2 linked regions of the Cricetulus griseus genome follow. The protein of the gene in region 1 interacts with the protein of each later gene in a biochemical or structural test. Links are inferred from orthologs where the notes say so. Each region holds a gene or a part of one and is shown on either strand. Other genes may lie near its edges.

What was found. The genes of interacting proteins can lie anywhere in the genome.
Region 2: the proteins of Gckr (region 1) and Gck form a complex in vitro, tested with the Homo sapiens proteins (2 studies listed by BioGRID and IntAct, with this or other methods). The link is inferred for Cricetulus griseus from reciprocal best matches to the Homo sapiens genes GCKR and GCK.

The regions. Positions count from the first base shown.
Region 1 is NC_048600.1:13,075,871-13,080,964, reverse strand, and holds part of Gckr (glucokinase regulatory protein), read left to right. Parts: intron 1-203; coding exon 204-322; intron 323-748; coding exon 749-847; intron 848-1,029; coding exon 1,030-1,127; intron 1,128-1,467; coding exon 1,468-1,544; intron 1,545-1,876; coding exon 1,877-1,973; intron 1,974-2,744; coding exon 2,745-2,842; intron 2,843-2,933; coding exon 2,934-3,017; intron 3,018-5,094. UniProt on the Homo sapiens protein: Regulates glucokinase (GCK) by forming an inactive complex with this enzyme. Acts by promoting GCK recruitment to the nucleus, possibly to provide a reserve of GCK that can be quickly released in the cytoplasm after a meal.
Region 2 is NW_023276807.1:98,927,459-98,932,552, reverse strand, and holds part of Gck (hexokinase-4), read right to left. Parts: intron 4,522-5,094; coding exon 4,359-4,521; intron 3,920-4,358; coding exon 3,765-3,919; intron 2,687-3,764; coding exon 2,567-2,686; intron 1,306-2,566; coding exon 1,210-1,305; intron 1,105-1,209; coding exon 1,005-1,104; intron 1-1,004. UniProt on the Homo sapiens protein: Catalyzes the phosphorylation of hexose, such as D-glucose, D-fructose and D-mannose, to hexose 6-phosphate (D-glucose 6-phosphate, D-fructose 6-phosphate and D-mannose 6-phosphate, respectively).

The DNA of each region.
Region 1 (5,094 bases):
AAAGATGTACTCTGGGATCCCTAACCAGAGTGGACATCTAGTGGGGATCCCCAATCACACTCATGCCCAGGAGTCACCAATCACATCCCATGCCCAAGGATCACCAACACCACTCCATGCTCAGGGGTCATGGACTGGAGAACTGGTAGACCCCTGGGTTGTTCTCTTTCTCTCAATTCCTCTTAGTGTCATTGCCTCCTTAGCCAGAGGGGCTCAGCGGCTCTTCCCGAATGAAAGGTGGAAGTGCCACCAAGATTCTGCTGGAAACCCTGCTACTAGTGGCCCATAAGACTGTGGACCAGGGTGTTGTGGCCTCTCAAAGGTATGGAAGAAAAAGACAAGCTGGAGATCAGATTCACGAAGTGGTGACACAGGGGAGGAGATGGGAGATTCAGAGCGCAGAGGCTAGCTTCCAAGACTCACAGAGGCTAGAACCTGCCCTGCTATGACTTTCTTCCCTTACCGGAGTCTCTGGCCCAGCTTCTAGAGTGCTCAAGCCCAACCGCCCACCCTCTTCTTGGCTTTTTGTTTTCTCCCTGCAGCCCTTTGTAAAAGAGAATCTTTTCTGCTCTTATTAATGGGGATCTTTCTCCCTCCTCCTTCCTCCCATTTCCCTCCATCATGGACTAGCAAAACTTTTCTTTTAAATGGGAATTGTGACACCCCCTAAGTGTGGGTAGGGGAACCTAGGTCTTTTGGGGGTGAGGGACACCAGGCCCTCTTTGGGAGCTAGTGAATTTTCTTCCAGATGCCTTCTGGAAATCCTGAGGACATTTGAGCGTGCTCATCAGGTGACCTACAGTCAAAGTTCCAAAATTGCTACCCTGATGAAACAAGTCAGCACCAGGTATGTGGCTGTGTGTTTATAGAGGATGTCTTGAGAGCTGGGGATACTCTGTGAGATGTATTAACATGGCAAGAGTGATGGGTCCTCATGTTGGAAGGCCTTGGGTGTTTACTCTTGTGTTATTCTGTGGCCTCTTTTCATGGTGATTGTTTGTGTCCTGGCCTCTGACGACTCTTTCGCAGCCTGGAGAAGAAAGGCCGAGTATACTTGGTTGGCTGGCAGACCCTTGGCATCATTGCCATCATGGATGGAGTGGAGTGTATCCACACCTTTGGTGCTGGTAGGCCCTAGTCCTGGTGTTCTTTCAGAGTTCCAGCATCCCAGTCAGTTGGTCCACTACCAAAGCATTTTCTTGCAAACCCCTGAGGTTCTCCAGTGCCCATTCTGTCCTACATAAAGAGGCATTTCAGTCAAATGCTTTTTTTCATTTGAAGCACCAAATTCTACCTCGGTCCTTGATATCTCAGTTCCTACCCACCCCAGGGCTCTAACTATAGCTACTTACACAGATCACCATTCATCCTGCATCCCACTCTCTGACCCCGTGACAGCCCTTGAAGAAGAACCTTCCTATCTTATAAAGCCTGCCATTCTTTTCTCTCTCATCTTGAACTCCCCAGATTCCCAAGATGTCCGTGGCTTTCTCATTGGTGATCACAATGACATGTTTAACCAGAAGGCAGAGCTCACCAACCAGGTTGGAAAATGACAGGACTTGGGAAGTTGTAGAACTCATTGGTGTGCAGAGGGCAGTAGAGGAAGTATGAGGGGATAAAAAATCCCGAGAAGGAATGTAGGTCAGAGGTCATGGTGCCTCAAAGCTGTGGAGTATGGAAGGCTCTGGATTTATCCTCTAAAACTTGGCTTCAGTCCACTGACCTGCTACCTATACTACTACTTTGAACACTGATAGTTTTTTCAAGTGAAGTCAAAACGGCTGTATTAGATGTTGTCTATGGTCTCCTTCAGTCTTCTAGTCTGTGCTTTTAAGTGTCCTGCTCGGAGGAACTCTATCTTCTTTTGTCCCAGGGTCCCCAGTTCACCTTCTCCCAGGATGATTTCCTGACTTCCATCCTGCCATCCCTTGTGGAAATTGACACTGTGGTCTTTGTTTTCACCCTGGACGGTGAGAGGGAAAATGGAAATAGTGGGGTTAGAAGCAAAAGTGGAGGAGCTGCCATTTTGAGTCTCAGGGTGCCTTGTCAGAGGGAGGATGTCTTAGTTAGGGTTTCTATTGCTGTGATAAAACACCAAGAACAAAAGTGACTTGGCCAGGGAAGGGTTGGATTTGTTGTTGTTGCTTTAATCTTACAGTTTATAAGTCTATCACTGAGAGAAGTCAGGGCAGAAACTGGGAGGCAGGAGCTGATGCAAAGGCTATGAAGGAGTGCTGCTTGCTCCTCATGGCTTGCCCAGTCTGCTTTCTTATGGCATTCAGGATCCCCAGTCCAGGGGTAGCAGTGTTCATAGTGAGCTGAGCCCATCAATAATCAACCAAGGAAATGTGCCATTGGCTTGCCCATAGGTCAGTCTGGTGGGGGCATTTTCTCAATAGAAGTTCCTTTTTCCAGCTGGGTGTTGGTGGCACATGCCTTTAATCCCAGCACTGAGGAGGGGGGCAGAGGCAAGTAGATCTCTGTGAGTTGAAGGCCAGCCTGGTCTACAGAGCTAGTTCCAGGACAGCTTCCAAAGCAATATGGAGAAACCCTGTCTTGAAAAAAACAAAAACAAACAAAAAAAGGTTCATTTTCCCCAAACAATTCCAGCTTGGGTCAAGTTGGAATAAAACTACCTAACAGAGAGGGACAGACTGAGTGTCCTGGCAGGACCCCAGGGTGGCAGGAAGAACAGCTTCATAGCCTTGCCTTTTAACTCTGATGCTTCCTATCCCATCCAGATAACCTCACAGAGGTCCAGGCACTGGTGGAGCAGGTGAGAAAGAAGACCACAAGCATCCAAGCCCTTGTCCACAGCACTGTGGGGCAGTCCTTGCCAGTGAGTGTCCAGCACTGGGGAGAAGATCTGGGCATGGTTACAGCCAGACCTTCTGGACCCCCCCCACACACACTTATCTCTTTCTCCTCAGGCCCCTCTAAAGAGACTCTTTCCCTCCATCATCAGCATCACATGGCCGCTTCTGTTCTTTGAATATGAAGGGAGCTACGTCCAGGTAGGCCGGGATGAGAAGGCAGTGCCTGCAGGAGAGGAGCCCCCAAAACCCCAAGGCTAGATGGGAAAAAGCCTAAATATTTGTTTGTCTCCTTTCCTCCTCAAGCTGGGCAAATTCCCAAATTATCAGGTTTCTGAAGAGAGTTGCCAAGGCAACAGGGTTCAGTTCTTTCTAGGAATATACAGAAAGGGCGAGGCAGGCCACCAATCACCACACGCTCATTTGTTCTCTGGGACAGGTTGATTGTTGATACTGAAGTCATTATCAGCACCCTAAATCGTCTAAGGCACCTCCTTTGCATGGCACACCATGCTGAACACATTGCAGATATTACCCCTCGTGTGAGAGTGAAATTATAAATCCAGGAGACACACGGAGAGGAATCATAGAACAATGAGCAGTTTGCATGCACTTTTCAGTTTGGTTTGGAGCAGGCACCAGGAAATTCAGGTGCCGATCCAGTTCTGCTGTGAGTCCCAGGAAAGAAAACAAATTTCTATCTCTGGGCCTTATTTTTCTCACAGTCCATCTGCCCACCCTTCATGGGGCAGAACCAGGGCCGAGAAGGGGTGCTGGGGGAGGTGTGGACTTCCATCATTATTCAAATGACTTCCTTCTGGAAGCTTCCAGACTGGACCAGACAGAATCAGCATATAGCCTCACTGGACCCAGAGCTCTGGCTTCATAACTGTCTCTTCCTGGTGCGAAACCCAGCCCCCTTCTCTGTGTTTTGTTCTAAATGGCATTCCTGTGTCATAGCCTTACTTTCAGGCATGCTTCCCACATCACATTCTCTGACATCGCCTGTTTTTGAAGAAGTCTTCTCTGATTAACTTGATATTGTCTTGGCCCTCATGATGCTTAATAAAAATATATCCTAATGAATATTTCATATATATTATCCCAGTTCTCATTTCAACATCTCTCCAGCCCTTATTTCTGTTTTCTTTCTTCCTTTTTTTTTTTTTTTTTTGAGACAGGGTTCCTCTGTGTAGCACTAGCTATCCAGGAACTCGCTCTGTAGACCAGGCTGGCCTCCAACTCACAGAGATCCGCCTGCCTCTGCCTTCCGAGTGCTGGAATTAAAGATGTGCGCCACCACTGCTTGACTATTTCTGCTTTTAATGCGGTGCCATTTTATTCAAATTTTGTCTGTATCCAAATCTATTAGGTTTTCAATCTTTTACTTGATACTGGCTTCATCTTTCCATATGGAATTGTCTGAAAAAAAAAAAAAAAAGCTTTCTTTGGGACTTTTTCCTAGTTTGCTTTTTGCTGCTATGATAAAACACTGACCGAAAACAACTTGGAAAGGTTAAGACTCTTTGGTCTTATACTTTACAGCCTATCATTTCAGGGAGTTGGGGGCAGGAGCTCCAACTGGAAGCAAGAGCAGAGGTGGGACCATGGAGGAAAACCGCTTCCACTTATTCTCCATGGCTTGTTCAGTTTTCTTAAATTTTCCATTACATTTTACTCTTTGTGTATGTGTGAGTATGTATATGTGTGAGTGTGTGTATGTGTGAGTGTGTGTGAGTGTGTATGTGTGTGAGAATATGTGTGTATGTGTGTGAGTGTGTATATGTGTGAGAGTGTGTATATGTGAGTTACCATGTGGGTGTTGGGAATTAAACCTGGGACCTAAGAGCCAGTGCTCTTAAACAGTGAGCCATCTCTCCAGCTTGGTCTTCACTTTTTTTTTTTTTTTTTTTTTGAGACAGGGTTTCTCTGTGGCTTTGGAGCCTATCCTGGAACTAGCTCTTGTAGATCAGGCTGGTCTCGAACTCACAGAGATCCACCTACCTCTGCCTCCCAAGTGCTGGAATTAAAGGCGTGGGCCACCAACGCCCAGCTGGTCTTCACTTTTAATTTGAAACATTTTGCCCTACTCACCAGTCCTTTACTGAATTTACTTCATTCCTTTCTCTCCTCTAGTTCATCTGAAAGATAAGTGAAGCCATCTTACACTTCACACTTGCCAGGCAGAGTGGCACAACAATCCTAGCACTTGGTGGCAGAAGCAGAATCTGGAAGAGCTCAAGGTCATCCCCAGCTACATAAGGACTTTGAAGCCACC
Region 2 (5,094 bases), on another chromosome or scaffold:
TACATACACAGAACTGGATGTGGTGGCGCACACCCTTAGTCCCAGCACTCAGGAGGCCCAGGCAGGAGGATCTCTGTGAGTTCAAGACCTGATCTACAGAGTGAGTTCTAGGATAGTCGGAGCTGCACAGTGAGGCCCTGTCTCAAAACAACAAAAAAAGGTTAAAAAATATATATGTATATACATGTGTGTGTACACCTATAATGTGTTTATATATGCATGTATATAAAATGACTATATTATTTAGCATGTATTATTTAGGGGACAGTATAAGTACAGATGAGAACCTATGAATACAAACACATGGCATTGGAGATCTGTCTCTGAAGGGCCTATGACACAGGGTTTTCTGGGTAATCGGGGCTCAGAGAGTTCAAACAAACATCCCTACACCTTTGTGCACATTAGATAACAGATTTGATTGAAACACTCACTGCTTTGGAAGATCACAGGGACTTCTGAGACAGTGGCGTGGGGGGGGGTCGTTGGTGTCGGAGCTCCCACCCCTGGTTAGGAGGGGGAAAGCTACAGCTTGTCTCTCTGGAATCTCTGTCCCTTCAGAGTGGGTTTAGGGCCTGGCAGTTTGGAGATTCAGTGCTGGGTCCCCTGTCAGGGGCTGGGCCAGGGTGGAGTAGGGCCAGGTGGGGGCTGGGCCGGGGGGGGGGTAGGGCCAGGTGGGTAGGGCCGACTAGCAGCATGATGACGCCACCACTTCCGCTGATTCTCTTCCACTTGAACAATTTTGTCCAGTGCGGCCAATTTACTAGATAAAGTGGTTTAATTACATGCAGATAGGCAGGGCAGGTGTGCAGCTGACAGGCCGCCTGATGCCCTGACACTGCAAACATGGAAATACTTCCCATCAACATACAGTTCCCGAATCACCACATCCGCAAGGCCACCTGCTCAGGGACAAGACCTCCCCTGACTGGCACTAGCTGTTAGTGTTCTGGCATTGACTGCTAAGTCCCTGTGGGAAGCATTGCAGGGGAACAAGCCCTTACCCACAATCATGCCGACCTCGCATTGGCGGTCTTCATAGTAGCAAGAGATCATCGTGGCTACTGTGTCATTCACCATTGCCACCACATCCATCTCAAAGTCCTGCCAAGAGTACGGAGACTATGGGAATGCGGCTGAGGAGAAGGCCCTGTGACAAAGGAGTAGGGGCCCAGTATAGCTCCTCAGGGCAGGCAAAAGTGTCCTCACCCCTCTCCTCTTGATTGCATCTCGGAGAAGTCCCACGATGTTGTTCCCTTCTGCCCCAGAGGCCTTGAAGCCCTTGGTCCAGTTGAGGAGGATGCCCTGTAGAAGTAGGAAAACATGGCTGCTGCTGTGTCCTTAAACCAACCAGGCCGCAGGTCCATGGCTCCCCCATTTCACATTTGAGGAAGTAGACTCACACAGCTTTGAGAGGTATTTGGAACCATTTTCTACACACACACACACACACACTCACACACACACACACACTCACACACACACACACTCAGAGAAACCCAGGACCTTGAGAATTTGGGGTAAATGCTCCATTGCTAAGCTGTACCCTCCCGCTGTGTTGGACAGCAAAACTCAGGGTTGTGATTCTAGAGTAGAGCTACGTAGGACAGGAAGGTCCCTGGGAGAACAAAACTGAGTAACTTTGGGGTTTATCTCCTTAGTGGATCCTACTGCACAAGAAGGTATCACATGTAGCTTTCTCTGTGGAGCTTTGGGCTTAGAAAACTACTGGAGGTGTGGGTTTGGCTGCTGCCTTTGCCCCTGGTTTCATCTCTGACACAGGTTGTAATGATTTGTTTTGTCACCTGGGAGGAAGTCTCAGTAAGGGCTTGTCTAGGTGAAGATTAAGTTGGCCTGTGGACAGTTATCTTGATTATATTAATTGAGGCAGGAAGACTTACCCCCCAGTGGGGGGCACCATTCCCTAGACAGAGGCATGGAAAAAGCAAGCTGAACACAGCAAGCATGAATTCTTTGCTCTGTGTTTCTGCCTCTGTGACTTCCCTGCTATGATAACCTGGGAGTTAAATTAAGACCTTTCTCCCCTAAGTTGCTTTTGTCAAAGTACTTAATCACAGCAACTATAAAGGAAACTAAAGCAGAGATTGTGTGTGTGTGTGTGTGTGTGTGTGTGTGTGTGTGTGTGTGTGTGTGTTATGTAACTTATGGGATTGCCAGTAGGGTAGATTCTCAGACCCTTCCCACTTCTGGCGCAGTCAGAAGCAGTGAGGTGTCTTTGTGCTATGTGGTGAGCTGGGGCCCCAGTCTTAGGGCCAGTTACCACCTCCCACTTAGAGCAACTTGCTTAACCTGTTACTCTATCTGTAGAGGGGTGATCATAGCATGTCTCATGAGAGGCTTTGCCACATGGTAAGAATCAGCAGATGTTATGTCTGTTTGCCAAAGCTTTACACATAGGAAGTGACAGGGGCCACAACTGAAACCTCTTCCAAGCTTGGGCTCTGTTACAGCCTTGGTTGGGGAGCTGCGACTGAAGGCAATCTGAGCAGAATTCTCCTCAGGGGTCTTTCTGTCCATGCATCTCCCCTTCCTCTGTCTGGCTCACCTTGTCTATGTCTTCATGCCTTACAGGGAAGGAGAAGGTGAAGCCCAGGGGTAGTTTCTTGTGCTTCATCTGATGCTTATCCAGGAAGTCAGAGATGCACTCGGAGATGTAGTCAAAGAGCTAGGAGTTGCACCAGAGTGGTATTGGGTCAGGGTCAGGGCTTGGACAGTAGCAGCTCTCCCCAGGGACTGTGCCGAAGTGTCCTTTGGAGGTGTTAAGACATTTGACCCCAGAGGCTGCAACTGTATGCTGGACCTGTCTGCAGTTTGTTTCTCCTCAGCACTCAGGCCCTGCGCCTCCTCAGATGGAGAGTCCTGCAGACTGCAGTCTCCAGAGCAAGGTGATACAACACAGGCTGATCCCCAGTTTAGTCGAACCCCTGAGCCCCCCTCCCCCATTCCTCACTTTCTCAGTGAGGACTGACTGGCATCAAGCCTGGGTGGATGTCCTGTGAAGCTCTAGGTAGAAGCACATTCTTGGCCATGACTATGATTACTGTCTCTTTTGCTGTATCCTGGTCACCTGACCCCTGCTGAAGGCTGCCCCAATCCCTTCCAGTGGAATGGTTCATGTGGTGAGGCACCGCTGAGCACTTTGTAGATGGATGAGGGAGCTGCCTCATAACATGCCCAGCCCCAGGCTGAGGTGTGCTGAAGAAAGGCTGGGTGGCTATGGGCAACCTCTTGCCTGGATGCCCCTCTGGTAATGGGTTTTCCCTTGTCCCTGGGCATGGTTGGGGGTTCTGGCTTAGCCTGTGGCTCCCTCTATTTCTAGGTTCCCTGTTTGTGTCTTCCTCATGCTTAGGGAACCCTTGCCACACCACTGGCATATACCCGTTGATGGGTTAGTGGTGGCCTGTGAGGAAGGCTGCGTTTTGGGAACTGCAGAAGGCTGGGCCAGCATGACTTCTGACTGTTCAGACCTAAGCTTTGGTTTTCCTCTAAGAAACTGGACAGAAGCTGGGTTTTCTCCTGCTGCTGACCCCTCTTCAGCCCCTTCTTGTTCTGAGCGGACTGGAAATTGGGACTGGGGACAGGTTAAGCCTCTGAGCCACCTACTTGGGTCTCTGTCTGAGGCGGGGTGGCTCACCATCACTCCTGTTCTTGGAACCCTCCCAAGGACCAATTCTCTTGAGATCCTGGGTGACCTTGACCCCTAGCCCCCCTTTTCCAGCCCTCCCCCCACCGAAGCTGCTCACCATCTCTGCAGTGCCCGTCATGGCATCCTGGGGGATGGAGTACATCTGTTGCTTGGTCTTCACACTCCACTGTCCTGCATCCCCCTCGCCCACCTTCACTAGCATCACCCTGAAGTTGGTTCCTCCCAGGTCCAAGGAGAGAAAGTCTCCAACTTCTGCAGGCAGAGGGAGATATGTTCAACCTCATTGCCTACCTGACAGGTGGAATAGGTATGGGGACCCCAGACACTGTGGATGAGGGGAAGCAAGCTGTGGAAGGGTCAAAGGTAAACTCAGGAACATCAGTGGGAAACCCTTGCCTTAGGAAGAGGCAGCCAGAACCCAGTTAGCTACATAGAGACCTAGAGTAACAAACAGACTAGACTCTGGATAAGGAGGAGGTTCCCCAAGTGACCTTAGAGACAAAAAAAAAAAAAAAAAAAAGAAAGAAAGAAAGAAAGAAAAGAAAGAAAGAAACCAGCTCTCCTGAGGTTTGATAGCTGGGCCCAAGCACCCCAGGGCTTTAGGCAACTGGGCAAAGACCTACCCAGTGGCTTGGGGATGCCATCATTTACCTAGGGAGTCCTGTCTAGGGACAGATGACCCCTGTGGTACCTGAGCCTTCTGGGGTGGAACGCACGTAGGTGGGTAACATCTTGACACTGGCCTCCTCGTGGGTCTCCAGCCTCAGGCCACGGTCCATCTCCTTCTGCATCCGCCTCATCACCTTCTTCAGGTCTTCTTCCCGCAGCTGGAACTCTGCCAGGATCTGCTCTACCTATACAGGGAGGGGATGGATGGGAGCGGCTGTGGCTGTCACCAGGAGCCTCCACACACCAAGAGTCTCTTTTTTTTTGTCTTCTGACTCCAGAATGCAGGATGGTCCACACCTCAGAATATTTACCATAGGTTATTTCAAATATTTCAGGGCCAGCCCCTCAACAATTAGCCTAGGTACTCTGGAGGAGTGAACAGCAGGGAACTGGGTAATCTTTGCTCTTAGCAGGATTTTGCAGCACCATGCCTTGAAGTGCCTCCCATTGCCCCTAAGATTTTGGATGAGGGGAGGAAAATGTGTAAATGGGACTTTGGTGAGGCAGGACTGGAGCTGGCATTACTGTGTAAAGACTTCATGTGTAAGGTCCCACTGTAGGACTCTATGGAATGAATGGGTCAGTATGCACAGGGTAGCCAAGACTAGGTAGCTGGTGTGACCCCTGATACCAAGCAGGGGTCTGGCTAGCAAAGCATGGCCATTCACAGTGTGCAGACTTTGAGCCCAGAGGGAGGACACTCTCAGTATCAATTTGGGAGACCTGTGCATGAGAAGCTCAGAACCACACTCCAGTCC